Macaca fascicularis: one gene and its partners. The protein of the gene in region 5 purifies or fractionates together with the protein of the main gene of each other region. This does not show direct contact. Links are inferred from orthologs where the notes say so. Each region holds a gene or a part of one and is shown on either strand. Other genes may lie near its edges.

Region 1 (2,603 bases), on a different chromosome or scaffold from region 5:
GGGAGGCCAAGATGGCGGATCACTTATGGCCAGGTGACAAGCCTGGCCAACGTGGCAAAATCCCCTCTCTACTAAAATACTAAAAATACAAAAAGTAGCTGGGTGTGTGATGCACACCTGTAATCCCAGCTACTCAGGAGGCTGAGTTATAAGAATCACTTGAACCCGGGAGGCAGAGGTTGCGGGGGAAAAACAAACAAACAAACAATTTGGTCAAAGACATTGGGGGAGCAGAAGCTGGGGCTGTTTCTGTATCCTCACTGCAGCCTGACAGCTTCTCTAGGGACTGGCAGTGACAAGGTCCCCACCTCCCCTTATTGCAGGACCCCAACAGGATCCCACCCAACAGGCAGACCTCCTAAGGGCTAGAGCTGGGGAGGAAGGCCACAGTAAATTTTAAAACACCACACACAATTTCCTCCAGGGGTCTAGGGTCCCTCTCACACCTGAGTTGTGCTGTCCGTGCAGCTGGGTCTCCCTGTTGGCCTGTTAAGTCTACACCAGAGGGACCACCACAGTTACCACCTCTGCCACCACCACCATCACCACCACCACCATCACCATCACCACCAATGCTCTCTGCTCCTCTAATTTTTGACCCCACATTCACGGTGTGCTCAGAAGCCCTTAGATGCCTCCAGCGGCTGACCTACGCCCCAGAAGCCAAGACTGGGAGTAAAATAGGGTCAGTCTGGGAAGTGTACGACAGGGGCGAGGCTGAACCCTCCAGCTAGAAACTTGAGCAGCATTCTGGGATCACATACCTTGTTTCTGCGCAGGAACTCCTCCTCTGGCATGAGGCTGTCTTCTGTCTTCAGTTTTTTGGAGGTAGGCTCATCTTCCATGGGAGGTGGGGGATGAACAGGGGGCATTGGGGCTGGAGCTGGGACAGGTGCCACAGGTGGAGCAGGCACAAAGGCTGCAAAGATAAGAATAAGCAGCCCCATGAGAGGGCAGAATGGGCCCAGGACTCAGGGCTGATGAGAAGTTGAGAGAGGAGGTTGCAAAGGTTTCCTCTAGTCAGAGGTGTGAAGTGCTGTTCCCTGATGAGTCTGGCAGCCAGCAGGTTCCCCAGCAGGGGGACCTGGGAGGCTGCCCAGATTGGATAGCAGAGGACTGCAGGAGGGGCAGGACTGACGGATGGAGCTAGTGCCAGGCAACAAGCAACTCTCAGGCCTCTGAGCCTGTTAGGGACCTGATCCCTGAATGCAGACACCGGCTACATCATTTTAGCCTCCCATTTCTACCAGGAATGGTAGCTCCCAGCTCTAGGGTTGCGGATCTTTCACACAGGAAGCCAGGGCCTCTCCTCTGGGCTGGACACCCTGCTGGAACAGCTCGCACTAGCATCAGCCACAGCTCTGTTGACAGTACTTGGCCTGTGGTCCCTGACCTAATGGCCTGGAAAGTGATGCAAGAGATACTGACCTGTTGGCACAATCATAGGGGGTGGGCGGGGGGCCATGATAGGAGGGGCCGAGGGAGGCATGGGCACCACGTTGATTCTGGGCGCGTGGATGATGGGCGGCATGGGGGCGATCACTGAGCCTGGGGGCAGCCGAACCACAGATGCCATTGGGGGCCGGGGCATGACAGGTACTGCAGAGACAACTGTAGTACGAACTGGAGGTGGCATCTGTGCAGGAAAGAGACCCACAAGTTACAGGAAGCCAAAGTTGGACTCCAAGGGCACACACAGTTGGCAACTGGCCGCCTGCAGCTCTGAGGATGAAGGTTAGACAGCTCCGTCCTGGCCCCCTGGGACTGAGAAACTGTGGCCTCACACTGGGCGTCCAACAGGAACTGAGCTACTGAGAGCCTGAGAATGACATTCTCTCTGCTTGGGACTTGGCAGGTCAAATTCGACCAGCTACTTTGGCAATCACTGAAAGAGTCACTAAAGAGGCTGAGACCTTGGCTGGGCACAGTGGCTCATGCCTACAATCTCAGCAGTTTGGGAGGCTGAGGTGGGCGAATCACCGGAGGTCAGGAGTTCGAGACCAGTCTGATCAACATGGAGAAACCCTGTCTCTACTAAAAATACAAAATTAGCTGGGCGTGGTGACGCATGCCTGTAATCCCAGCTACTTGGGAGGCTGAGGCAGGAGAATCACTTGAACTCGGGAGACGGAGGTTGCGGTGAGCCGAGATCGTGCCACTGCACTCCAGCCTGGGCGACAAGAGCGAAGCTCTGTCTCAGAAAAAAAAAAAAAAAAAAAAAATAGGGAGAGGAGCTGAGACCTCGACTAAATCTCCTGGAGACAGGCCAGCAGTCCTCACAGACCCAATAAGCCCTGCAGCCCTTCTCTGACGCTAACTGGTTTCTCACATTTGCCTCTCACCTCCCTCCTTGTTCCAACCCTCCTCCACAAACAGATTAAGCTAGAGGTTCCCACTTGCATTTAAAGGGCTCTTTCTCTTTCAAACTGACCCACCCCACACTGTAAGGCAGTTGCCCGTCTCAGCCAACACTGTCCGACCTCAAGAACAAAGCTCTAAAAAGTCAGCTGCAGGGTAGATGCTGGCTTACTGTGGGTGGTCGGGGCACTGAAGTGATGGGTGGGGCCGAGCTGGGGATGTTGGTGGCTGAAGATGGTGGCGGT
Region 2 (4,098 bases), on a different chromosome or scaffold from region 5:
AAACACCGTCTCTACTAAAAATACAAAATTTAGCTGGGTGTGGTGGCCGGCACCTGTTGTCCCAGCTACTTGGGAGGCTGAGGCAGAAGCATGGCTTGAACCCAGGAGGCAGAGGTTGCAGTGAGCCGAGATCACACTACTGTACTCCAGCCTGGACAACAAAGCGAGACTCCGTCTCAAAAAAACAAAATAAAGGTTGATGGCCGGGCATGGTGGCTCATGCCTGTAATCCCAGCACTCTGGGAGGCTGAGGTGGGTGGATCATTTGAAGGCAGGAGTTTGAGACCAGTCTAGTCAACATGGTGAAACCCTGTCTCTACTAAAAATACAAAAAAAAAAAAAAAAAAAAAATTAGCTGGGTGTGGTGGCTCACGCCTGTAATCCCAGCTACTCGGGAGGCTGAGGCAGGAGAATCTCTTGAGCCTGGGAGGTGGTGGTTGCGGTGAGCCAAGATCGCACCACTTCATTCCAGTCTGGGTAACAGAGTGAGACCCTGTCTCAAAAAAAAAAAAAAAAGAAAGAAAGAAAAAAAGGTTGAGCCTGTTTTCCTACACACAACTTCTACTGACTCTTCAGAAAGAAGGGCTATGGGCCCGGCGTGGTGGCTCGCGCCTGTAATCCTAGGACTTTGGGAGGCCAAGGTAGGTGGATCACCTGAGGTTGGGAGTTCAAGACTAGCATGACCAACATGAAGAAACCCCTTCTCTACTAAAAATACAAAATTAGCCCGGCATGGTGGCACATGCCTGTAATCTCAGCTACTTGGGAGGCTGAGGCAGGAGAATCGCTTAAACCTGGGAGGCAGAGGTTGCGGTGAGCCGAGATTGTGCCATTGCACTCTAGCCTGGGCAACAAAAGCGAAACTCCATTTTCAAAAAAAAAAAAGGGCGATGGATCTGCCACACCCACCACACCTAGCAAAGGGTTTTGGGAAGAGCAGAAGTTTGGAGTAGTTGATAAAAGGGAGAGAAGAACTCAAAGCCAACAGCCCTTTATGGCTCTCCAAGCCCTGTTAGTGCTCTTAGCCTGGGTCTGCATAGAGAAAGGGAAGGCAGGAAGAAGGGAACCAAATTTTGGGGGGACTGGAAGAGGAAGGCCTATACTTCCAAGCTCCCAAGGCTTTTTTAGGAAAGAAGAAGGTGGAGTTGAGCAGGGTGGGGTAGGGTGGGGCAGGGGTGGGTAAAGTAGGAGTGGCCTGAAGCTTCCAACGGCTGGATTTCAAAAATGTCACTGTATTCCAGCACTTTAATAAGACAAAGATCAAAACGTCAGCAGCTAAGAGGATGGGCCTGAGCAAAGACTGCCTGGCCTGGCTGGGAAAATGAAAGTGGCTCACTCCAAGGAGGGAAGGACAGTGCCCCCAACCCTCGAAGACACGAGGCAGTGGGCCAAGGGAGGAGTGCGGCCAGACCTGGGCATAACACAACTTCCTGAGCTGGGAGCCTCTGCCCTCTGCCTCCCTCCCTCCCTTGCATTCCTGGGCCAAGCAGGCCAAGGGCTGTGGGAGCTGCGGGGGAGCCAATCTCCCGATCTCCCATCTCCCGGAGCTCTTTTGGTGGGCCTGTCAGAGCCCAAGGAAGGTCCCAGACACGCAGAGTGGCAGAGTGAGGGACAGCTTCCCAACCCTTAGAACCCCGGAAAAGGTCATGCCGAGGGGGCCACCGCCAAGCCCTCGGGAGGGAAAAGGGGGATTGCCCTGCCTTTCTCACCTCTCTCCAACACGCTGGACAGATGCCAGCTTGGGAGTCATGTCTTAGTGGGCATCATGTGTTCAGAGCCAGCTTGGGCAAAGCTGGCACCAGTGCCAAGCCCGCCAACAAAGTTCTAACAGGACCCTTTCTGCTACTCATATGTGTCCTGGGTGCCCAGAGTTCTTCGAGCTGGCAGGGCTAGTTCTGTTTTGCTTAAGCCCCTCCCGCAGGCTCCAAATAGCTGGCAAATCCCAATCTGACCGAATTCGGGCAGGCCCCAGCCCTAACTTGTCCCTGATACCCCCACCATTCCTTATATCCCCCCCGCCCTCTCCCAGAGACCACCTCTTCCCTCTCTGTCCTGTCTTGACAATTCCCCTTGACACTGCCAGTCACTCGCTGGGGGCAGTTCCGGGAAGGGAGGAGACTATGGCAAAGTTATCGGCCTCCAGGCCCTCTCACTCCCTTCCTGCAGTCGGCCAGGGGCGCCGGCCAGCCGCCCTCTCCACTCCCCGCCAGGCACGCAGCCACCTGGGCGAACTCACCGCGCTTTCAGCTCCTTAAACTCCTCACGCACTTTGCTCAGCTCCAGCTGCAGGCGGGCACGCTCCTTGGCCACTGAGTCGAGGGTCTTGCGGGCATCCCCGAGCTCGGCCTCGTAGGCGGCCTTGATGCCGGACACCTCGCGGCTGACCACCTCTTCAGACTCGGTGATGCGAAGGCGCAGCCCTGCGTTCTCCGTTTCCAGCGAGCGAACACGGTCGATGTAGACCGCCAAGCGATCATTGAGCTCCTGCAGGTCCTCCTTCTCCTGCAGCCGGGTGATGCGGGTGGGCGACAGCGGAGTGGAACTGGCCTGCGCCCCGCTGCGGGTGGCGCGCCGCTGGGACGGGGTCTCCATGGCCGGCAGGTTGGCAGCGCTGCCCGCGGGGCAGGGGTCCCGGAAAGGGCTCGGGGCTCGGGCAGAAGGACGGAGACTGCTCGGAGTCGGAGTGCGCCGGCCGGCTGGCTCTCGGCTTGCTACTGGCAGGCGTGGGGATCTGGGCCGAGCGCTGTTGGACCTCGGGATCTGGGTTGGCTGGTGTAGGTGCTGCGCTCCCGCGAACACTGAGTCACCGACGCCGGGGCAAAGGCTCTAATAGGTCCTCGTCTGAAGGGAGGAGTGGCCACTGCTCTTAAAGGGGCAGTCCCAGATCCATGGGGGTGGGGGCAGGAGTGGTGAGGAGGGGGAAAGACCGTTGGGGTGTGGCGGAGTCGAGCCCCACCCTCTCCAGCGCACCCCTAACTGCGTGAGGCTTAAGCTTCCCCTCTCTTGGCTGCTCAGTACTGCCGGCTCCAAGCTTGCCCCCATTGCCTCAGACCTTCTGGGCTAGAGGGCAGAGCCAAGGAGGGAGAGTGGGTGGGCAAAAGGGTGGGGGAGAAAGAGAGGGAAGTGGGTGCAAAGCAAGGGAGAGGGTCAGGCAGGCAGGGCTGGGAGCCAGGAAAGTGGGGGGAGGGCTGAGGCTGGTGCCCATCAGTGTGACTCACCCTTCTTCCACCACTGGCTCCCCCTGTCCTCCCAGTAGTAATAGTGAGTCACCCCAACCCCCCCTCCACACGTGGGCAGCCCATTCAGAGCTGCATCTCAGTGTGCCAGGAGTGGGGTGGAGAAGGAATGCCTGGGTTCCCTGGGGGGAACAAAGTTCTGGAACCTGAGTTCCTTTATGCCCCCAATTTGGGGCCAGGGATCAAGGAGTTTGGGGGTCCCTTTTTTGCTTTCTTTTGCCCCAATATATCTCCCTTCAAAACCAAGCATTCGTTTTTAGACCCAAGCAACAAGCCACAGTCCCCTAAAGAAGGCCAAGAATAGGAGCCAGGCACTTCCCCCTTCCATCTCCTGTCCCCTTCCTTTGGACCCAAGCACTGCTTGGGTTCCTTCCCCCTTCAGTCCCTTTCTACTGCTTACCCCACCCAGTCAACTTAATTTTTTTTCCCCAGAACTGTACTTATTTTAATGGATAATTTAAAACAGATACCAGAGCTGTGTGTGCATTCATTACGTTGCCAGGACACTAGGTCCCAGATTTCTGTGGTTCCCAGAGGGGCCTGAAAGGGGGAGCAGGGCTGGGGGCTGGACAGCCAATGTTGGGTCTCTATCCTGGTTTCAGCCAGAAAGAAGGTAGTAGGGGGTAAGAAGGTAGTGGGGGGCAGGAACAGCAAAGACCCCACAGCCTTGCTGGCTGCAAAGGCCAGCACCACATTCATCTCTACTTTCCTCTCTGGCCAGGTCCATTTTGCAGCTGGCTCTGGGGAGGGGCCAGGCTGTCTCACAAAACGAGATCACCCAGGTCCCCAGGGTTCGCTAGCTCAGGCTCTGGAGCCTCCATCCTCAGGCCTCACCAAGGACCCTTTTGATAAGCCTTCCACT
Region 3 (4,230 bases), on a different chromosome or scaffold from region 5:
ACACCTGTAATCCCAACACTTTGGGAGGCCAAGGCAGGCAGATCACTTGAGGTCAGGAGTTCCAGACCAGCCTGGCCAACATGGTGAAACCCTGTCTCAACTAAAAATACAAAAATTAGCAGGGTGTGGTGGCGCACGCTTGTAATCCCAGCTACTTAGGACACTGAGACAGGAGAGAATCGCTTGAACCTAGGAGGCAGAGGGTGCAGTGAGCTGAGATCGCCCCACTGCACTCCAGACTGAGTGACAGAGCAAGACTCTGTCTCAATAAATACATAAATAAATAAACAAACAGGGCCTTTGACCCCTAACCTGTACTCCCTGTTCAATGTCTTTGTAGAGAGAAGGGTGGCACTTTAAGCTGGTCATCACAGCCTGGCATTAATAGGCCTGCTCTCCTCCCTCCACTCCTCACACTAAGTAGTCACAACCTGCTAAAACCTCACCTCCAGGCCGGGCGAGGTGGCTCATGCCTGTAATCCCAGCACTTTGGTAGGCCTAGGTGAGCGGATCACGAGGTCAAGAGATTGAGACCATTCTGGTTAACACGTTGAAACCCCTTCTCTGCTAAAAATAAAAAAAAATTAGCTGGGCGTCGTGGCACGCGCCTGTAATCCCAGCTACTCGGGAGGCAGAGGCAGGAGAATAGCTTGAACCCAGGAGGCAGAGGTTGCAGTGAGCTGAGATCGCACCACTGCATTCCATCCTGGGTGACAGCGAGACTCCTTCTTAAAACAAAACACACCAACAACAAAAACATAAAACAAAAACTTCACCTCCATCACTGCTCCTTACTTGGGCCAAGACAGCAGCCTCCTAACTGGACGCCTTGCCTTCCTCCTACCAATCCATTTCCCCTCGGGCAATACAAATCAAAGCAACACCTCATGTTCACAGAGTGAAGGTTTAGGGCACCCTCCATGTGCCAGGCCCATGATTCACACTCACTGCTGCTTACCGGGACCCTGCCTATGAACTCCCGAGACACCCCTGCTGTCCTCAGTTTACCCCACTGCTCCTGCATTCCGGTGTGCCAGGTGGCCCGCTCCAGTCCCCTCTGTCCCCACCCCTCCCCTCCCACCCACAACACGCAGCCAGGAGGAGTCTTCGCACCGTCGCCAGCCAGTCCAAGCTTCAGTGCTTGCACCTGCGGCTTCCCCAGCCCGGGGCACCCTCCTTGCCCACCTCACGGAGACTAGGCTCAGGTGTCACCTCCTCCAGAACCCCTGCCTGATTCTCCCGAACACGCCGCGTCTCCTTATCGCACCCCGCAGGAGTCAGCTGTTTCCCTGTCAGTCCCTCCCAGGAGACGGCTCCCACTCCCTACACCCAGCGAGGCACACGGTGGGGCTCAGTCACCCCTTCCCGGCCCCCTGGAAGAATGAATGAATCTCAGAGGCAGGAGTGTCCGCGGGAGGCCGGAGCGTGAGGACCGAGGGCCGCGTGGCCAGCCTCATTCTCCGGCCACACTCGGGGCGCGCTGGGCCCCAGGGGCGGAGAACGGGAAGGGGCGGGTTCAGGCGGCTTCTCCGGAACCCAGAGGCAGAGCAGGGCTGCGGGCGGGGCCCGAAGGGCGCGCGGGGTCCTGGGTCCTGCAGCCCAGGCCGCTCTTCCCCGCCTCCCGCTCCCCGCAGGTAAATCTAAGTCTCCACCAGGCTGCGCCGGCGCCTCCGGGTCCTGGGACCCCCGCACGGGTCCCCCCGGCCGCTCTTCGGCCCCAGCGATCCCCGGCCGTGACCCCCGCTTCCCGCACTGCGGCTCCCGGCCCGGCCGCCCGCTCCCCACACCCGCCCCCCGCGGCCGCCGTCCCCGCGCCCCGAGTACCCACCGGCTTGGCTCTTCCGGCGCGGGCGGGGGCCGGGCTGGGCGGCGTGGCGGGCTCGAGGATCCGCGGCCCGGGCGCACTCTCCCCGCCCAGGGCCCGCCGGGGGCCGGGCCGCAGCCTGTCGTCATCCCGGGCAGGGCGCGCACCCTCCGGCCCCGCCCCACCCCAGCCCGGCCGCGTCCGCGAAGCCTGGATGCGGGCGGCCCCCGCCTCGGCCGGTTCCCGGGGCAGCCGCGTCCGGCCACAGCGAACACGCGCGCGCCCCTCCGGCCGAAGACCCGGCTCCCCGCCGCGGTGCTGGGGGCGCGGGGGCGCCTGACTTTATCCCTCCTCCGGGCCCTTTGCATCTCCAGCCCCTTCCCTGCGGACCGGGTCAGGGCCGCGCTCCCCGGTTTCCACCCACCCATGTCCCTTCACCCACCTCCCACACCGTCCTCCTGTTCTGAGTCTTGGGAGGTCCCAGCCCGGCGGACTGGAGAGGAGCTTCCATGCCCTCATCCTTCGACCTCACAGCAGCCGGCACTTGCCTTTTGTGCCCAGTATTCACAGTTCTGCCCACTGAGGTTCAGGAAGCTGGAGGAGTCAAGCCCAGACCTCCACTTCCAAAAATCCTGCTGCTGGTGGCGCTTACATCCTTACTCTTCCACTCACCCCGTCTTGTTCAGTCTGTGCTGGCCCCATCCAAGGATTGGAACCCCTCCCCCTCTGCTCACCTCTTGCCCTAGGGCTCTGCTTGAGAGGGGCTGCCCGGCCCTGGGGAGATACTCCACCCTCCTCCCAGCCCCGAGCATCCCAGCTTACAAGCTTGCAGGGCCTGTGGGGATGAACCACGCGGATGATCTCCCCGGTGGGTACCAGCTCCACTTGCAGCGCCATTCCGCCCTGCGGAGAGCCAGCGCCCTGGGCACTGGGGCCTGTGAGCAAAAGCTGCTGCCCACTGGCTGGCTCTGACCGTTCCAGGAGCCAGGAACCTATGGCCTAACGCCGGGATGGCCACTTGGTTCTGCTTCAACTCCAGCCCCAGGGGATGTGGCTGGTCCAGCGCCTCAGGACACAGCTGGAGCCGTCCAGGTCTGATTGGGAGGCCTCTTGGCCCGGATGGTTGGAGCAGGAAGAGGAGGGGCTGGTGATGGAGGAAATGCCTGTTGTCCCAGGTAACCAGAGGAGCCCATGCAGCCACCCACGGGGGACCCTGGGCTCCAGGTCAAAGGGTAGGACGCCTTTCCCCTTCCCCCGCCACCCCCCAGCAGCTCTATGGCTGGGCCCCTCCTCCTGCCACTGTCTGGTACCAGCTAAAGCACAGGGCCCACTCCCCAAACCAGAAGGCATGCCCTCCCCTAGGCCAAGAGGACCCCTCAGTGCACACTGCCTTTCCTGCACATCCCCTCAACCGGCCGTCCCCCACAGCAGGTGAGCCCCCACCATGAGTTTGAGTGGCCAGGGCTGCTGGGGGCTGGTCGTGCTGGGCAGAGGGCGTTGTCCCACTGGGAGAAGACTCTTGTCTTACCCTCCTCCGAGCCTCAGAGCTTGTGAGGTGAGTTCCTGAGTTCCCTGGGTGTGGCAACCTCTAGCTCTGTTCATCCTTGCATTTCGACAGTACCCCCAGGTGACCCCCCACCCCTGACGTTCCTGCTTTTCTATTTTTACTGCTGCTAAATCACAGCTGACACTTTCCTGGCCTGAGACTGAGCCCTCCGGTCTCCAGCCATTCCTTAGAGGAAGTCAGAACAGGGAAGTGGATAGGGGAACAGACCTTTCCAGAGGGAGAGGCTGGCATAGGAAGGGCCGAGTCCCGTGGGCGTGTGCTGGCACTGACAGCCCCATAGGCAGGGGCCTTCCCCTCGGCACCCTTCTGTCTCCCCACAGCTTCCCCCGCCCCAGAAAGGCTAGCAAGCCCTCCTTCCTTCCTCCAGGAAGCACATCTATCCAGGGCAGGCTCATCCCCAGCGGCCACACAATGGCCCTTATCAGCCGTGGAGCCAGGCGTAGACCCAGTGCACACCAGGTCTCACTTATTTCCTGTTTCCACCCAGTGGGTCGGGGTGGACCCAGAGCGGCCATATCCTGACTGGGGCCCAGAAGACGGAGAGCACCCCCGCTTCCCCTTTCCGCCTCTCAATCACTGCTGGGCTCACCCCTCCCTCACAGGAGGCAGGGTGTGTGGGGGCCTCAGTTCACCACGGGGGAGGTGAGCATGTGGGGGGACCCCTGGGTCAAGCCCCAGGGCTGCATTAATCTGAACGGGGAGGCAGGTCTAGCGCGATATACTTTTTGCAATGGTTCTCCCACAATAGTCTTGAGAATAGGGACATCATCTGTATTTTCAGACTACTGAGACCGCTCTGCGGGTGGGTTCAGATCCCTTTCCTGTTCCTGGTCCTGCAGGAAACCACAGGTGCCTGGAA
Region 4 (3,961 bases), on a different chromosome or scaffold from region 5:
TTATCCCAGCACTTTGGGAGGCCAAGGCAAAGGATTGCTTGAGCCCAGGAATTCGAGACTAGCCTGGGCAACATAGTGAAGCCCCATCTCTACAAAAAATACAAAAATTAGCCAGGTGTGGTGGCTCATGGCCGTAGTCCCAACTACTCAGGATGCTGAGGTGGGAGGATGGCTTGAGCCCAGTAGGTCAAGGCTGCAGTGACCTGTGACAGTGCCACTGACCTCCAGCAAAAACCCTGTCTCTTCAAAAAACAAAAACCTTATTAATTTTTCAAAAGGTAGGAGATAATGAAGTCAGGAGATATATTATCATGGAAGAGGCTGTAGTTATTTGCGCTCTGCAATTAATCAGCTGGAGCACACAGTCATATTAGCTAAGCAAGCTTAACTTTAGGCATGACATAGCAATCCAAAACACAGAGGGCTGAATTTTCAATTTGCAAATCTGCTTTATATTCAAAATCTTCAAATTATTTGAGAAGAAAATGGCTTCATTCAAGTATCTGCTGAAACTGAGCCAGTTACAAAACAGACATGTATTAAATTTGTCTTCAATAAGTGACAAGGTTGGGTTCCAATCTCTGGCATCATTTAACAATTCTTGTCTCCTCTTTAAAAGAAATGAAAAGCTATTACTCGAACCACCACAAGATTTAGTAGTGAGCTATACATCTGCCATGGAAAATAAACAGCAGCTGTACTTGATTCTTTGTGTGGTTTATAAACATTTGTCTGCAGAAAGATATTTCAGATGCAGCTTAGTATGAAAACAAGCCCGCGTTTTCCCCTCACACTTAAGAACAGCACTTTCTCAACTCTCCACATTCATTTGCCACCCCACTTTAACAAAAATAACTAAAGCAATTAAACTTGGATTGATTAAAAAAAAATCCACTTTGTTATTTAACGTTTTTAACCTTCTGTAAAAGTGTTTTTATTATTGGCATAAATATATTTATATATATATGCCAAGATATGCCAAGGTATATTCCATTACTTCAGATGAGTTATTTGAAAATTATAGATGACTGAAGAAAGTGCATTATTTGACTCATTTTATGGGTAAAGATTTATTATTCTTTACATTTCAAGCCTTAAAGGAAAATAAGTCCTTGCTAGTGCAAACATGGTAATACCTGCAAAGAAATATGAAATTATGTTACTTATAGCCTGAATATTAAAACCTTTTATTAACAAAACTCTTTTATGTATGTTATACCAATGGGGGAATGTAAATAAAAATGGTCTTCAATGGTAAAGTGTCTAATAAGTCACTGATATTAGTGTCATGTCAAACCACTGCATTCTCTGTCATTATGGAATTAGCCCTTCAGACGATAGAGCTGAGGCAGGTTTCTTTAAGGGGATATTTGGGAAGAAAGCAAATTAATAGGAATAAATTGTTTCAGCTACAGTAAAAATCAGGATTGGTGACACAGGAAAATCAAAAGCTCTGAAGAGGTTTAATTCAGTGAAGCCTTCCAATGGTCACCTGCCTAGGCCAGCGATTGGCATGCTGCCAGATGAGACAACAATATGTTGCCTCCAGGATAAGGAACCATGGGAAAGAACTCTAGAACTTACTAAAGGGAAGCCAGTTACAGACCAAATAGCCCCGCAGGTCTCAGAGCAGCTGTGCTCTGTCCCCAGGGCTCTGTTCAATTCCATGCGATCCTGAGGAAGATATTCAAAACTACCTGCTACTACTCGAGAAGACTAGAAGATAACCTCTGTATCACTCTTTCCTACCTTCTAGAACCAAAGAGGGGTTAAGAGCCACAACATCCCCAAAGAAATAAAAAAAGTGGGAAGGGGAGGCGAGTTTCCTTAGGGAGCTCGACCCCACACACTCTGAGATTGACATCGTTCTGAGAAATGCGTTCTCCCATTCTACCCTCGTTTCGTTCTTTCAGTGACCTTCTGTCCCTACTGCCTCAAGGAAGGCAAGAGACAAGCCACCGCCTCACCACCACCCCCAACCCCCACCACCGGAGAAGGTGCCTTTCTCAGTTGAGAGCCGCAGAGGGAGGAAAAAAAAAAGGTTGCTCCTCCCCAACCCACCCGCCCCACAACTCCTGGGTGCAGACACGAAGAGGGAAAGAGGAGAGCAATGGAAGGTGACAGCCCCGCACTGGCCCAGGGGATAAGAATCCTTGCTCTGGTAGAAACAAGAGAGAATCCCCCCTCCCACTCCCCTACCCAAATGAATGAACTGAACAAAATGGGGAGGAGAGAGTTTGTACGCGCAGTTCTGGCCATCCAGGAAGCAAGATCGAGAGGCCTTTGGATCCAGGCCTGGTCTTTGCAGCCCTTTGCACCCCAACTCCTGTCCTTTCATCCAAGCCCCACATCATTTAACAGTTTAAGCTTTCTAAGATAGTGCCCCCTCCTCCACCTACCCCAAAGACCGACAACCCCCCCACCCCTCCAGCTCCGATCCTGCTCGGGGCCCAGACTCCAGCTTCTTCCACTATTCCTACCACCTTCTCCACAGCCCTCACCAGCCCGGGCCCGGCCGCACCTGGAGATGCTCCTGAAAACGAATTGGCAGAATCTGGGCCATGGCGCTGTCGGGGGGAATGGTCTCCTCCTGTCACTGGGGCTGCGGGGCAGTGGCTGCCCGGGCTCTCCGAGGGAGAGGAGGAGAAGGGGAGGGGGGAGGCTGGGCTCAGCAGGATCCTCTCCGGGGACGCAGGAAACTGGCACGCAGACGAAAGAGCTCGGGTCGGGGGCGGAGGCTCCACGGGCCAGGAGAGCCGCAATGGCGGAACCGGGCGCAGCGCAGACTCCGGAAACGGCTGAGCCCAGCGGAAGGATCCCGGCGACAGAACTCCGCCCAGTCGCCTCACCCCCTCCGCCTTATGTACCCCTCCACGGAGCGGTGCGTGCGGCGGGTGCAGGAATTCCGGGCGCTGTGCGCCCGGAGCCTCTCTTCTGACGCCACACGGGGGGCAACAGAGGAACCGGAGGGACTACTTTTTTAGACTCATCACTTTCGCCAATCTTCTTTTTCTACCCCCACTTTTTTTTTTTTTTTTTTTTGCATTTTGCCACATCATGCGACTCGGAGCGACCGACGTCACTTCCGTGGGTGCTTTAGGTCCCACCCACGTACTTCCAGGTGCACGTGATACTGATGGGGAAGGGTCGGCTGATTGCTGCCAGAATGGAGAGCGCGTTTTAAGGAAATGCGGCGTCTCCTGGGAGTGAAGTGGCTGTTGGGCCACCTTGAGGCATGACGGGTGCCGCTTCCTTCCCCTGCGACCCCTGCCTGTTTGGACTGAGCCCCTTACAGGAGGACGTGGCGGGGGCAGACGGGGGCAGCCTCCCGCCCTCTCCGTGACTCAGGGAAACGGCCTCGCCGCAGAGCGCTCCCTCGGCAGCTGGCTGCAGCACTCCTCCCCCGCCGGGCTTCAGAGTGGGTGGTTTCCTACAGCCTAGGGAGGGGGCCTGAAACGGGGTTTAAAATCCTCCCTGCCCTCACACACGCCCTTCTGACGGTTGGAGAACCTGACGCGCGGATTCTAACTAGAACCGGCACTCTCTTCGGGTGTTAGATAATTAGCTCAAAGGACAGCGAAGGCCATTTATGATGTGTCTCAAGCTGGCCTTATGACAGCTTCTCTTAACGTTTCTGCGGACATTTTGGCGGGCGGACATGTGTCAGCCTAGCTCAGTAATCAGTTTCGTTAAAGAATTCGAGTATCAGAACGTACAAGGATTGGACTCAAATTCTAGCAGGAGGATTTTTAGCCACATCAAATAATTTATGTCTCAGAGATTTAGATAATTAGGGTAAGGATGCTTGGTAAAACCTGAAGGTTCCTGGAGGAAAGAGATGAACTGTTAGTCGTGCATTTCCGTGGGACCACCTCAACATAGGTTCCTGTAGGTTAGCAGTGTAGAAATGCAGCGCTTCAAAGCCGGAGCATCATGTCTTCAAAGAGCATGGAGGTATCAA
Region 5 (4,253 bases):
CCCAGAACCTAGGACAGCATGTGGCACAAGGGAGGCAGTTGATACTTTTGCATAAATTGAATGATACGTGGGAAAATACCTTCTATGACACTATTCTTGAATTAGTTACTTCATTTTATCACTGAAGACAAGCTTGCTTCACCAAGAATTTGAACCAATAAGGTAACCCGTAGTGTATTTACTAACCAGATTCTTTGAGCAGGGAGGCAGAATACAATAGAGAATTAGAGATGTTTGCATCCTGGCTGTAACCTCACTAGCTGTACTGCTTGGGATATGTTGCTTTGCTTCTGTCAATAAGATGACAAGAACGGTACCTACTCCTTAGTATTAAAAGATTAAGTGTGCTAACAGGGAGAGGGTCAAACGTTTGTTGTTTTATTACACAGCAGGACATCAGGTCTTACTTTTGTAGCTCCCCATCTCAAAGACAGGGATGGCAAATGTTTCATTCAGGAAAAAAAATCCAGGTTGAACAATGGGGCTGTTGGGGTGGGGCCAAGAACATTCTGCTCGAATTAACAGTATTAATGGGCCTGGTGAGGTGGCTCACGCCTGTAATCCCAGCACTTTGGGAGGCCGAGGCAGGTGGATCACCTGAGGTCATACATGGGTGAAAACCCGTCTCTACTAAAAAACCAAAAATTTGCTGGGCGTGGTAGCGGGCGCCTGTAATCCTAGCTACTTGGGAGGCTGAGGCAGGAGAATCGCTTGAACCCAGGAAGCAGAGGTTGCAGTGAGCCGAGACCACGCCATTGCACTCCAGCCTGGGCGACAGAGCGAAACTCTGTCTCAAAACAAAAAGAAAAACAGTATTAATGGAATGTAGTATAACCCTCAAGCCCTACTATTGACACTTGGGGCCGAATCCAGACCCCGTCTTCCCGCTCGGATTCAGAACACCTTCCTGACTCCCTGGCCCTAGGGCCGCAGCTACCTCGGACAGCATCCTTTTGGGAAAATACCGCCCACTAGCCCCACGACTGGGAAAGAGTCGGGCAACGCCCCTCCCCTCAGCTAGGGCCTGCCGTTTCCTAGTGCTTGCCCAGCCGCCCTCAGGTCACCTTCACTACCGGGCCAAGGACCCCGTGGGAACTCGCAGCCCTCGCCACACCGGTTCCTCGCGCATCCATGGAGTGCCTAGAGAGAAGACCTGCATGGCAAAAACCTAAACGAAGAGATGAGAGGCATGGAGAGGAGTACGACAACAGAAGAAAGATAACAGTGGGAGGAGACGTTAGTTTCCTTTATCCGTTTTGTTACTGGCGGTAGCAGGGAAGTTAGAAACGGTTTTAAAACAAATTTCAGACAGGCATTTTCCAAAGGCAAGCCTGGAGCGCACGGATCTGTACAACCGCGGAAGGCCCCGTTTCCGGTCCCTTGCGCCTGCGCTCTTGCAGCCAAGAAGGCGGGAGGCTGGAGTAGGGAGAAGCCTGCAACCGGAAGTGAAGGCAGATTTCCCTCCTTCGTCGCTGTTGCTGCCGCCATACGCGCTCTGCCTGCTTAGGTAAGCTTTGGCGTTCACTACAATCCGTTGCCATCTGCGCTTCTTCGCACCCATCCCGTCACATGGGTTCCTGATACCCTTTTCACAGGCGATCGTCTGGTCTCTGGGGCCTAGTTGGTTCCCCATTTCCGTAGCTTGCATCCCTTTCGAGAGCAAAGAGCTCTTGGGGGAAGGAAGGGAAGCTAAGGGGGGGCCCAATCCAAGATGGTGTCCTCGGCGCCATTGTGTTCGTTTTGCTCCCTTCTTCCAGTAGGTTCTTTTCATATTGGAGGCCTCAGCATCAATGAGAGGCGGCGCTAGGCGTCCCTTGGTCTTGGTATTTGCGGAGGGCGGGGCTCTTATCACCTTACTTGTCCTTTCTTGAGCCCTTTCTTGGCCCACGGTGGGACTGGGAGGAGGAGCCGGTTTTTGGGCCCAGTTGGATTTTTCTCACCTTGACTCGCCCAAGTTAATTTGGAGTGCCTTACAAGTGTTTACTACTGGTGTCATTGTATGTTTCTCCAAAAGGAGTCTCACCTTCGTAGCGCAACAGTGATGTCAGACCACTTGGTAAAGATCCTGTTAAAGCCTGGGCGGGGATTGCCTTTCTCTGTCAACTATTAACTTTGTTATTGTAGGGTGGAGACATGGATTTTTTTTTTTTTGGTGGCCGAGCCATTTGTCTTGCACCGCCCCTCCCCCCCATGCTAATTACACAAGGCTTTCTTAAACAACGGAAGAGAGGATACTGAGAAGTGGGAGGCTGAGAGCTATGGGAGGTGGACGGCGGCCATATGATGTTTTCTTTTCGAAAGATGAGCGCTTTGCGCAGTGATGACCCTCATCTATCACCCTTGACTGATGGCTGCTGAGTTAGGCATCCATAACGGTGGGATTATAATAGGGAAAGCACAGTCTTCCTTTGAGGACTTTCCAGGACTCTGCTTGTCATCTCCATTTTCCACTTTACTAAGTTATTAATCATATTTTATCTTTTATTATCTATTATATTTCCTCACTGTTATTTTCAGATTAAGAATTTATAAGTTGGTCTTCCCCTTCCAACTTTTCTGGTTTCCGCTACTGTGATTGCTAATCTTGTTGGGAACCTGTGTCCTAACCACTTTCGCTGGTGCTGCTTTTTCTGTTCTCTTGTATTTGCTTTTCGTTTTTATGTTGTGTATCTGTTTTTTTTTCCATGTAAAAGTTTCCTAGTTTAGGGAAAGTGGGAACTGGGAATGGAAAAGAGGTGGTGAAGGCTCTGCTCGTGACTAAGTCTTGCTTTTTTTTTTTTTCCCCTTCCCCAGCTCTTCTGTTAGAAATAGTATCTTTATTTTCCTTTGCTGTTCCTCAATCCCCTACTCTTCACCCCTTGTTTTCACCTGTTTTGCGAGAACCCATCCAGATCCCCCTTCCCGTCTTCCCCTGCCGGCCCAGTTATGGCAGAGAACGATGTGGACAATGAGCTCTTGGACTATGAAGATGATGAGGTGGAGACAGCAGCTGGGGGAGATGGGGCTGAGGCCCCTGCCAAGAAGGATGTCAAGGGCTCCTATGTCTCCATCCACAGCTCTGGCTTTCGTGACTTCCTGCTCAAGCCAGAGTTGCTCCGGGCCATTGTCGACTGTGGCTTTGAGCATCCGTCAGAAGGTAAATTTTCTCTTGGGCATGTAGTGCTCATTGGGCTCTTTAAGGGTACAATAAAAAGATGTGTTTGTTGTTGCTCAGGTGGTAAAAGTTTATACTTAAGGCTAGATCAGGGTCAGGTGCAGGGGCTCACGCCTGTAATCCCAGCGCTTTGGGAGGGCAAGGCAGGAGGGGTGGTCACTTGAGCTCGAGTGCAAGAGAAGCCTGGGCAAGATAGGGAGACTCCTGTCTCTACTAAACGAAGCAGGTGAAGGTTGAGGCTTCAGTGAGCCGTTATTGCACTACTGTACACCAGCCGGGGAGACAGGAAAAAAAAAATCAGGAGATAAGTATCGAAAACGATTTTGGATAGAGGAGGATTATACAGACTTGTTCTTTCTTTCATGATAGCACCAAAGTGCTAATTATCCAAAAGTAGCTTCTAGGTCTGCCATTCATTCTTGTGACTGACTTCTTTTGTCTGCTTATTTTTAATTTTGTCATTTGACTTGTAATTTTAAATTTCCAGAAAGGTCCTGATTGGACCTGTAGTCTCCCTCTGTTGGGCCAGGCCAACTGTGGCCTCTGGAAACCTCTATGACTGGTTTAGAGATGACTGGCTTCTGGGTCAGGTACCAAGTCCTTCATTTTGTCCCGGGTTGTTGTTATGTGACCCGAAGTATGGCAACCTAAGTAGGAGAAATGTCTTTAGCAGGTATTCAGATGTCATGAATTGTTACAGATTAAGAAAAATAAGGACAGAGCCAGGAGCATTGAAGGTGAGCGGTTGGTAGATGCAAGGGGGCTGTTAGTAGGACTGGGAAGGCCTAGATCTGGAGGAGGCCAAAGCTGGGATGAATTAGGAGAGTCTGATTTTGAGGTGAATATAATTGAGCAGAGAGAGGTAAAAGGGGTCTGGAAGTTGGCAAGAACCAGGTAAATACTAGATTTTGAGAATTGAGTGGTAAGAAATGGGCTTGGCATGATGAAAAAGGTTGTAGAGTTATCTGGAGACTGAAGTCTAATTTATCTTTCCTCCCCACTTTTAGTCCAGCATGAGTGCATCCCTCAGGCCATTCTGGGAATGGATGTCCTGTGCCAGGCCAAGTCGGGCATGGGAAAGACAGCAGTGTTTGTGTTG
Region 6 (2,789 bases), on a different chromosome or scaffold from region 5:
GGCAGGAGAATCACTTGAACTGGGGAGGTGGAGGTTGCAGTGAGCCAAGATCATGCCACTGTACTCCAGCCTGGGCGACGGAGCAAGACTGTGTCTCAAAAAAAAAAAAAGCATCTGCCTAAAGTAAAAAACAAGTCCATTTTCAGCAGAGACATTTGGAAATCCATTCAGCATGCTAGGCATAATTGTAAGGTGAATTATTCAATGTTGAATGCTATAAACAATAAAAACCACCACTGGATTTCAAATTGGTAAAATAGCTCATTTTGAGTGCACACATTAATTCTCTTGCCAAGTTGCCTGCAATTTTCCAGAAAAATTTGTCTTCCTTTAGGGAGGACTGAAATCCAAAATCAGCCCAACACTACCATCTAGTGGTGAGATGTATTGATGACGTGTCTCTTCAACTAAAAAAAGTAGTACCATGTTTTTCTTCCCAAACTGAGATCCTGAGAGACAGTAATAATGTAAAAAAAAAATGGAAGAGAAACATTGAAAAGTTCAAATTTTCATTAAAATCTTTATTGAATAAAAATGTTTCAGACTAAGCATGACTAAGAAAGCACAATGTTTTACATCTCTAAAAAATATTAAAGCTAAATCTCTAATAAATGCAGTACAAAGAAAAGCCTACAGCTTAAAACACCTCTCCCTCCCATCCATACATTTGGAATATCAATTGTGTACAACAAATGTACTCAAGTTTATAATGTCCTCAAACCTTAAGACTAGAAAATCATCCCAAGAAAAAGGCCTATAGTTGGTTTAATTTCACCCTGGGAATACTGTCTGTGATAAAAATCAATATATTTCAGAGCTAATAAGTATTTAAAAATTAGTATCTCAAAAAGAGGACATCATAAGGGAAATACAGGGCTTAGAGGTCTGAGCTCAAATGGTGTAAAGCAGTTCTTTCTTATTCCTCCTTTAAACTCTTCACTTTGCTCTAACATGGAACATGGGGGACAGTGATCCCAAAGGTATTACTAAAATATTGCAGCTTTCAGTAAATTATGAGAAGCACAGATATAATCAGAAAAGAAAGCAATCATTTGGAGTACAGTAAATTCATTGGCAGATACAAAAGCTTATTTGGGAGATAGATCTCTCCAAGCACCGAAGAATGTAGGTTGGTTTTTCAATTGCCTCAAAAAGTGCTCCGTTGTGTTATACCTCAGGACGTCGAGTTCAGGATATAGTTTAGAGAGTAGGACATAAAGTAGTAAATTCCTTATATATATCACAGCCAGAAAATTAATCTAAAAAAATTTAAAGACTAAATAAACTCTTAACAGGTAAATCCTAAAAAAATTAAATTGGTATTCATTTAAAAATATACAAACTGTGCCCTTTATACTAAAGTGCATTCAGTCGTAATGTTTAGGCCCCTAAATTCCTTCTGTATGTTCTCTAATTCCAAAATAGTGTGTAACAATATACTACTGATCATCTATCTACTTTAATATTGCCTTTTGGGAATATAGTAGAATCTGGGCTATTATAAGGTGGAATATTTCCCCAGTTCTAAGCCTTACAGCACTTATGCATATCATCACTGCTAAAATGAAGAATTTAAGTAAAGTTATCTCTAGCATTTAGAATATGTTTTTTTGTTTTGTTTTGTTTTGTTTTTTGGTTTTAAGAAGGAATTCTTTTCCAAAGTTACTTCCAAGTAAATTACATTTCACGCTGGGATACCTGCTTATGTGCATCACACTTTGACAAAGGGCAGTGGCTCGCTAACACTAACATGAATTTAAGGCCCAGCATCATTGCAATTTGTCACTCTTCATCCTCATCCTCATCATAATACCGATTTCTCTTTATCTGTTCCTCCACAGAGAGCTCTTTGACCACTTCTCCCTCCCAGAGTTCCACATCCTGGGATTTCTGATTCTCAGTAGTGAATTCTTCAGCGAAGGTGTCGTCTACAAAACTGGACCAATTTGGAGACTTGGGTTCTTGTGGAGACTGTTGTTTGAGGAAGCTGTTATCATCTTCATCAAAGTTTGCACCATTTTCTACAAGATTCTCATTCTCCAACTCCAGACTATGACCTTCCTTACTTCTCTTCCCTGTCTCTCCTCCTTTAGATTCCTTGTTTTGCCAGGTTGTTTTTCCCACACTCCCATTCTTCTTAGAAGCCTTGGCATTTTCCACTTGTTTCCTTTCTGCAACTATTCCGCCCACAAACTCTTCACTCTGCTCTGACATGCTCCAGCCTTTCCTGATAGGTGGGGACAAAGTTTTTGGGCTCTTGACAGAGGTGCTTTGAAATGAAGCTGCTACAGTGAATGGGCGGCTTCTTTCCTTCAGTGAAGAAGATCGTCTTAGCTTCTTCAGATCCAGATCGACATCCTCAGGAACTTCGGGCTTGCTGATTTCATCTTCAGGAGGCCATTTGGGCTTTGACACTTTGATCCCTTCCTCCAAGGCACTTCCTGAACTTCCAAGTTCAGTGGGGGGTGGCCAGGCGATCCTCAGCTTCTTGGTTTCAGCTGGCTTGTCTTCCTTCTCCTGCTGAGAGGCCGCCTTGGCTTCCATACTTGCAGCGAGGACACCCACCTTAGCAATAGGAGCATCTTCCACCCCTGGGCTGTGAGAGGTCTCCCTTGCATTTGCAAGCTGGGCTGGTCTCTCCAAAATCTCTTCGCTTTCATTTTTGCTTGCCCATAGATCCTTGTGTGGTCTGTGCCCAAAGCCTTCATCATAGTTGCCCTTAGATTTAAAGAGTTGATTGAAGTGAGGCTTACAATAGATTCTTCCGTGTAAAGATGCATATGTTCCTA
Region 7 (4,244 bases), on a different chromosome or scaffold from region 5:
CTGACAGTCAAAGCCCACTTAGAGGTTTGCAATACTTTCTCATACTCAATTGCAACCCAACTGGGTGAAGTAGCAGTATTTACAGTGCTGCACTGCCATTGATACCATTCGCTGCTGAAGAAAGCTAGTGGCCCAGTGATAGCCCACTGCTGCTGCCTCAGGTCTTTGGAAGAAATCAACTTATGTTTAAAGCAGCAGCTACTGAACTGGAATTGAGAACAAAAGAGCAGTTATTGAAAAAATAATATTACAATCTTTTAGAATAGGGAATATACTTGTGTGCTAATGGGAGAAGTCATTAGTAAATATTTAACTAGCCCAAATAGCTCACTTAATATAATTCCACAAAAAAATGAATTACTTTATTGTAGAAGCCTGTAAGGCTAAATTATAGGTAGTGTTACAAGTTTCCGTTAGCTAGTCAGAAACTGGCATTAATTTTACATTTCCTAAGAACGAGAACTTTCAAGTCATAAAAATATGAAACTCCTAGAGCCTGTAAAATAATCCATTTGATACAACTGATGCCGTGCTAAATATTAAACTACTAGGTTCTGAATATAAACCATTATCTCTTCCTGCTTTTAAAAAAAACTAACCCAACTTTTGCTGCACTTAAGCATTAAGTTTTCTAACATTTTGGAAGCAAAAAAAAAAAATAAAAACCATCACCGCATTTCATAATTGGGGAGAAACAGCTTCACTTACAAGTATCAAGACAAACCACTGTGTCATCGAAGTGTTCATCTTCTTCTTCAACAGGTGGCTGAGGAGATTTGGCTCTGAAAGACAGAATTGTCTCCTGATACAGCTTTCCGATCAACGAACGAATAAGGGATGACAAGTAAAACTAGGTGAGCATCCTATACCTGCTATACTTGTTCTCTTCAATGTACTCAAAATATCCACGGCCATGATCTTCTCGTGGTCTTTTAACACCCCTCTTTTTATCTCCGCCTTTCTGTTCTGTTTTGCCGTCCCCTAAAACACACAAGACCCCCATAAGAGGCCAGGCCGCTAAACAACAACAAAAAAGCGCTTTTCCGTTCCGAGAAGCAAAGCAGCTCGACTTTATCCTGCTTTTTAACTGAGGTTTTAACCGAGGACTCAAATGTGAATTCGAAGAACAATCAGCTACGAATTGGATTAGCGCTAGTGACGCAGTCTAAAGACGTTACGAATTTTGCCAGTCTCCTCGATGATTCGAGAAACCCAAAGAAAAACTGCGCGGCCCAGGCCCGAAGCCCACGTGTATCGCGACCAGGGCGCAGGAGGGGGAGGGGCCGAGCCCGGCGCGGCGGCGCTCCCCTCCCCCGCGGGCCCGCGCTCCCCGCGGCCGCATTGTACTGATCTTCCGCCCCCCGCCCCGCCCCGCCCGGCTCCTCCCGCAGGAAGTGACGTCACGCCGAGCCCCTGCGCTCCTTGCACAATACAGCGGCGAGGAGCCGCCAAAGCGCGCCCGCCCCGGGACCTGGGGCCTCTCCCCTCCCCCCGAGACATGTGCCCGCACCGCGCGCACGCAGCGCGACGGCGCCACCGCGGGCCGACCGGGCTCCCTCCCGCCGCCCGCCCGCGGCTCCTCCCCCTCCAGCGGCAGCTGCAGCTCCCCCCGGCTCTCGAGCCACATAATGGAGGCGCTGCCACCGCCGTCACACACACACACACACACACGAACACACGCACACACGCCCCGAGCCCGAGGCCTCTCGGCTAATCTGGGATTCCCCGCGCCCCCTCCCCCACCCGCCACCCTCCCCGCGGCCCCCGCCCGCCCGGGGCTCCCTCCCCCTGCGGGGCTCCGGCAGGCCTGGGGCACGGTCCCCACCCCGCGCGGGCCTCCCGCCGCGCGCAACGTACAACGCAGCACTCACCCGCCGCCGGAGCCCCGGGGCGACCGCCGCCTCCGCCGCCTTCCGCCTTCTTCTTACCTCCCGCCTGCTGCTGGCCCTGCCTCGCCCCGGGCGGCGCCACCGTCACCGCGAACAGCGAGGTGGGGCCGCTGCTCTTCCCCGCGGCCTCCTTGGCGGCCCCGCGCTGCTGTTGGGTCTGTTGCTGCTGCGTCGCCGGCGGTTGAGGCTGCTGCTCCCCGTGCCCGTTCTCGTCGCCCGCGCCTTCCTCTTCGTCCCCGAGCTCATCTTCCCCTTCCTGGAAACCCTGATCGTCGCCGTTCTCGTCTTCCGAGGCGGCCTCCTCCTCCTCCATCGGGCCCGAGTCGGCCGCCCCCGCGGCCCCGTTCTCCTCTCCTAGCTCCATCTGGTCGCCGTCCAGGGCGGAGATTCCTTCCTCCTCCTCTTCCTCTTCCTCCTCCTCTTCATCGCCGCCGACCGCGGCCTCCTGCTCGAGGCCTGCTCCCGAGCGCCCGGCGGAATCCCCGCCCAGGTCTAGGCTGCCGTTCCCGGGCTCCATGGCGGGGCGGCCCCCGGCCTCCTCGTCGTCCAGCGCGGCCTGGAGTCGCTCCATGAGCTCGGCCTTGAGACCCTTGTCAGAAAGGCGTCGCTTCTTGAGCTCCTCTTTCAGCTCCGACACCTTCAGCTTTTTTACATTAACAGGCGAGGAACTCATGGTGAGGGCCCCGATTCACCGCTAGGCGCTGCCTCAAACTCGGCTCCGCTCACTCGGCCACTGGTGGCGGCTGCTGCGGCTGCTCCTCGGCCCGGGCGGCGGCTGCGGCTGCGGCTGGAGATGGGGTCGTGCTGCAGAGCGGATCCGCCTGGTGTCGAACGGCGCCAATTCCTTTCACCGAGTTCGCGAGGGAGACGCGGAGACTCGCCTGGCGCGAGCGAGCACGCAACGTCCTCTCGCAGGGGCGGCGCCGCGCACGTAATATAGGCGCCCCGCCCCCTGCGCTGACGGGAGCGCTGCGCAGGAGGAAAGCCGGAGCGCGCCCGCGCTCGGCCCCGCCCATTACCGTACTTACCTCCCCGCCCCCACGCCGAACCCGGGCGGAGAGCGCGGCGCAGGCCGCGCAGTGCGCTTCCAATTGGGACTGAGCAAATGGAGGAAAAGGAAACCGCCTTTCAGTTAAACCGACTCACTGCACAATCTATTGGCCTTTCTGGGTCTTTGGTGGCTATACTCGTTTGGCTTTTCGCCTTCCCAGCCTGGAGGCTGCTTTGTCCAAATGCTTTCTTCAGTCCTCAACTTGGCATTTCAACCCGAATACGCCTTTTCTTCCATCTTAGATCTGCCTTCTTGTATGTTTCTCCAGCTTTTCGTTTAAAACTCCTTCAAATCGTTTTGACTGGTATAACACACATTGGCAACTGTTACACGCAGGGGCTCTTTTCAGCATAATGCTGTATTTGATTTAATATGTGTAAGTCCTGCTTTGCGAATTGGATTTTAAGTTCGAGAAGGGCAAGGGCAGAGCCGTTCTTTTGTCTGTTCCACACCCCGGGTGCAGGGCCTGGGAAGTAGAGGCTTTGCTTACTACTCCATACTGCAAACCCTAGTTTACCAGCCTTTGCAGGGCTATTCTCATGCTCTTAATAACCCTAAATAAACCACAGAATTGCATTTCCAAGTTTTCTGTACCTACCACAAAGACGGACCTCCAGTAAGGCTTGTTCTGTCCACTTTAGGACCTGGTCATCGGCTATGAAGTCTCAGTAGTTAACCATGAGGGTGAGACCCAGCTAGGTCTTTGATTATAGGCCCACTTGATTCTCTTCCTATTCCTGTAGAAATACTCTTGACCAAATCATTCTGAAACTTAAAGTTCATGAAAAATCAAGGGCAGTGATTTTGTTAAAAAAAAAAAAAAAAAAAAAAGGACTATCGCTCTTGAAAAGAAATCCGTTATTTTGTATGTTAGAAGTTTACTTTTTCGCTTTAAATAAAAGATGTGATGTTCCCGAAGTTTTAGACAGGGAAGTCAGAATTTAGATTCGTGATAGAAGTTAACGTCTTAAACCCCAGATAATCTGCAGTGTCCAGCCAGTGTTCCATCTGACTAAGGAGATGGTTTATACCCACTGTTTGGTACTCTAGGTGGCACAATAATATTGCCCCATTATTAATTTGAAATTTGGAGGTATACATATTGAAATTTCTCCCATAGGCTAATGGGATTTAACTGATTGATGCATTTTACTTTTGAAGTTTATTTTCAATGGCTTTTATGAAGCATTCTGTCATACCTTGCAGCCATGTATACGTGAAATATTAACATTTGTGAAATGATTTGACTTGAAATTAATGGACTATGTACGGTACTACTGATAATCCCCAGTTCAAGTTAAGTG

Evidence for each region.
Region 1: the proteins of DDX39B (region 5) and SF3A1 purify together in Homo sapiens (affinity purification with mass spectrometry; 3 studies listed by BioGRID and IntAct, with this or other methods). This does not show direct contact. The link is inferred for Macaca fascicularis from reciprocal best matches to the Homo sapiens genes DDX39B and SF3A1.
Region 2: the proteins of DDX39B (region 5) and LMNA purify together in Homo sapiens (affinity purification with mass spectrometry, with the first as the bait; 4 studies listed by BioGRID). This does not show direct contact. The link is inferred for Macaca fascicularis from reciprocal best matches to the Homo sapiens genes DDX39B and LMNA.
Region 3: the proteins of DDX39B (region 5) and MYO1C purify together in Homo sapiens (affinity purification with mass spectrometry; 5 studies listed by BioGRID and IntAct, with this or other methods). This does not show direct contact. The link is inferred for Macaca fascicularis from reciprocal best matches to the Homo sapiens genes DDX39B and MYO1C.
Region 4: the proteins of DDX39B (region 5) and CLTC purify together in Homo sapiens (affinity purification with mass spectrometry, with the first as the bait; 3 studies listed by BioGRID). This does not show direct contact. The link is inferred for Macaca fascicularis from reciprocal best matches to the Homo sapiens genes DDX39B and CLTC.
Region 6: the proteins of DDX39B (region 5) and LIMA1 purify together in Homo sapiens (affinity purification with mass spectrometry, with the first as the bait; 3 studies listed by BioGRID). This does not show direct contact. The link is inferred for Macaca fascicularis from reciprocal best matches to the Homo sapiens genes DDX39B and LIMA1.
Region 7: the proteins of DDX39B (region 5) and HNRNPU purify together in Homo sapiens (affinity purification with mass spectrometry, with the first as the bait; 3 studies listed by BioGRID). This does not show direct contact. The link is inferred for Macaca fascicularis from reciprocal best matches to the Homo sapiens genes DDX39B and HNRNPU.

The regions. Positions count from the first base shown.
Region 1 is NC_088384.1:21,329,009-21,331,611, reverse strand, and holds part of SF3A1 (splicing factor 3A subunit 1), read right to left. Parts: coding exon 2,531-2,603; intron 1,637-2,530; coding exon 1,429-1,636; intron 920-1,428; coding exon 765-919; intron 1-764. UniProt on the Homo sapiens protein: Component of the 17S U2 SnRNP complex of the spliceosome, a large ribonucleoprotein complex that removes introns from transcribed pre-mRNAs.
Region 2 is NC_088375.1:104,963,401-104,967,498, forward strand, and holds the start of LMNA (lamin), read right to left. Parts: upstream 2,801-4,098; 5' UTR 2,593-2,800; coding exon 2,237-2,592; intron 1-2,236.
Region 3 is NC_088390.1:1,603,257-1,607,486, forward strand, and holds the start of MYO1C (unconventional myosin-Ic), read right to left. Parts: upstream 2,801-4,230; 5' UTR 2,702-2,800; coding exon 2,627-2,701; intron 2,489-2,626; exon of another isoform or gene 2,316-2,488; coding exon of another isoform or gene 2,247-2,315; intron 1,911-2,246; exon of another isoform or gene 1,829-1,910; intron 1,483-1,828; exon of another isoform or gene 1,186-1,482; intron 1-1,185.
Region 4 is NC_088390.1:47,088,113-47,092,073, forward strand, and holds the start of CLTC (clathrin heavy chain 1), read right to left. Parts: upstream 2,801-3,961; 5' UTR 2,564-2,800; coding exon 2,522-2,563; intron 1-2,521. UniProt on the Homo sapiens protein: Clathrin is the major protein of the polyhedral coat of coated pits and vesicles. Two different adapter protein complexes link the clathrin lattice either to the plasma membrane or to the trans-Golgi network.
Region 5 is NC_088378.1:140,188,762-140,193,014, forward strand, and holds the start of DDX39B (spliceosome RNA helicase DDX39B), read left to right. Parts: upstream 1-1,453; 5' UTR 1,454-1,507; exon of another isoform or gene 1,508-2,056; intron 2,057-2,275; exon of another isoform or gene 2,276-2,353; intron 2,354-2,793; 5' UTR 2,794-2,925; coding exon 2,926-3,136; intron 3,137-4,161; coding exon 4,162-4,253. UniProt on the Homo sapiens protein: Involved in nuclear export of spliced and unspliced mRNA. Component of the TREX complex which is thought to couple mRNA transcription, processing and nuclear export, and specifically associates with spliced mRNA and not with unspliced pre-mRNA.
Region 6 is NC_088385.1:57,007,861-57,010,649, forward strand, and holds the end of LIMA1 (LIM domain and actin-binding protein 1), read right to left. Parts: coding exon 1,783-2,789; 3' UTR 501-1,782; downstream 1-500. UniProt on the Homo sapiens protein: Actin-binding protein involved in actin cytoskeleton regulation and dynamics. Increases the number and size of actin stress fibers and inhibits membrane ruffling. Inhibits actin filament depolymerization.
Region 7 is NC_088375.1:4,313,654-4,317,897, reverse strand, and holds the start of HNRNPU (heterogeneous nuclear ribonucleoprotein U), read right to left. Parts: upstream 2,801-4,244; 5' UTR 2,563-2,800; coding exon 1,872-2,562; intron 982-1,871; coding exon 870-981; intron 783-869; coding exon 709-782; intron 1-708. UniProt on the Homo sapiens protein: DNA- and RNA-binding protein involved in several cellular processes such as nuclear chromatin organization, telomere-length regulation, transcription, mRNA alternative splicing and stability, Xist-mediated transcriptional silencing and mitotic cell progression.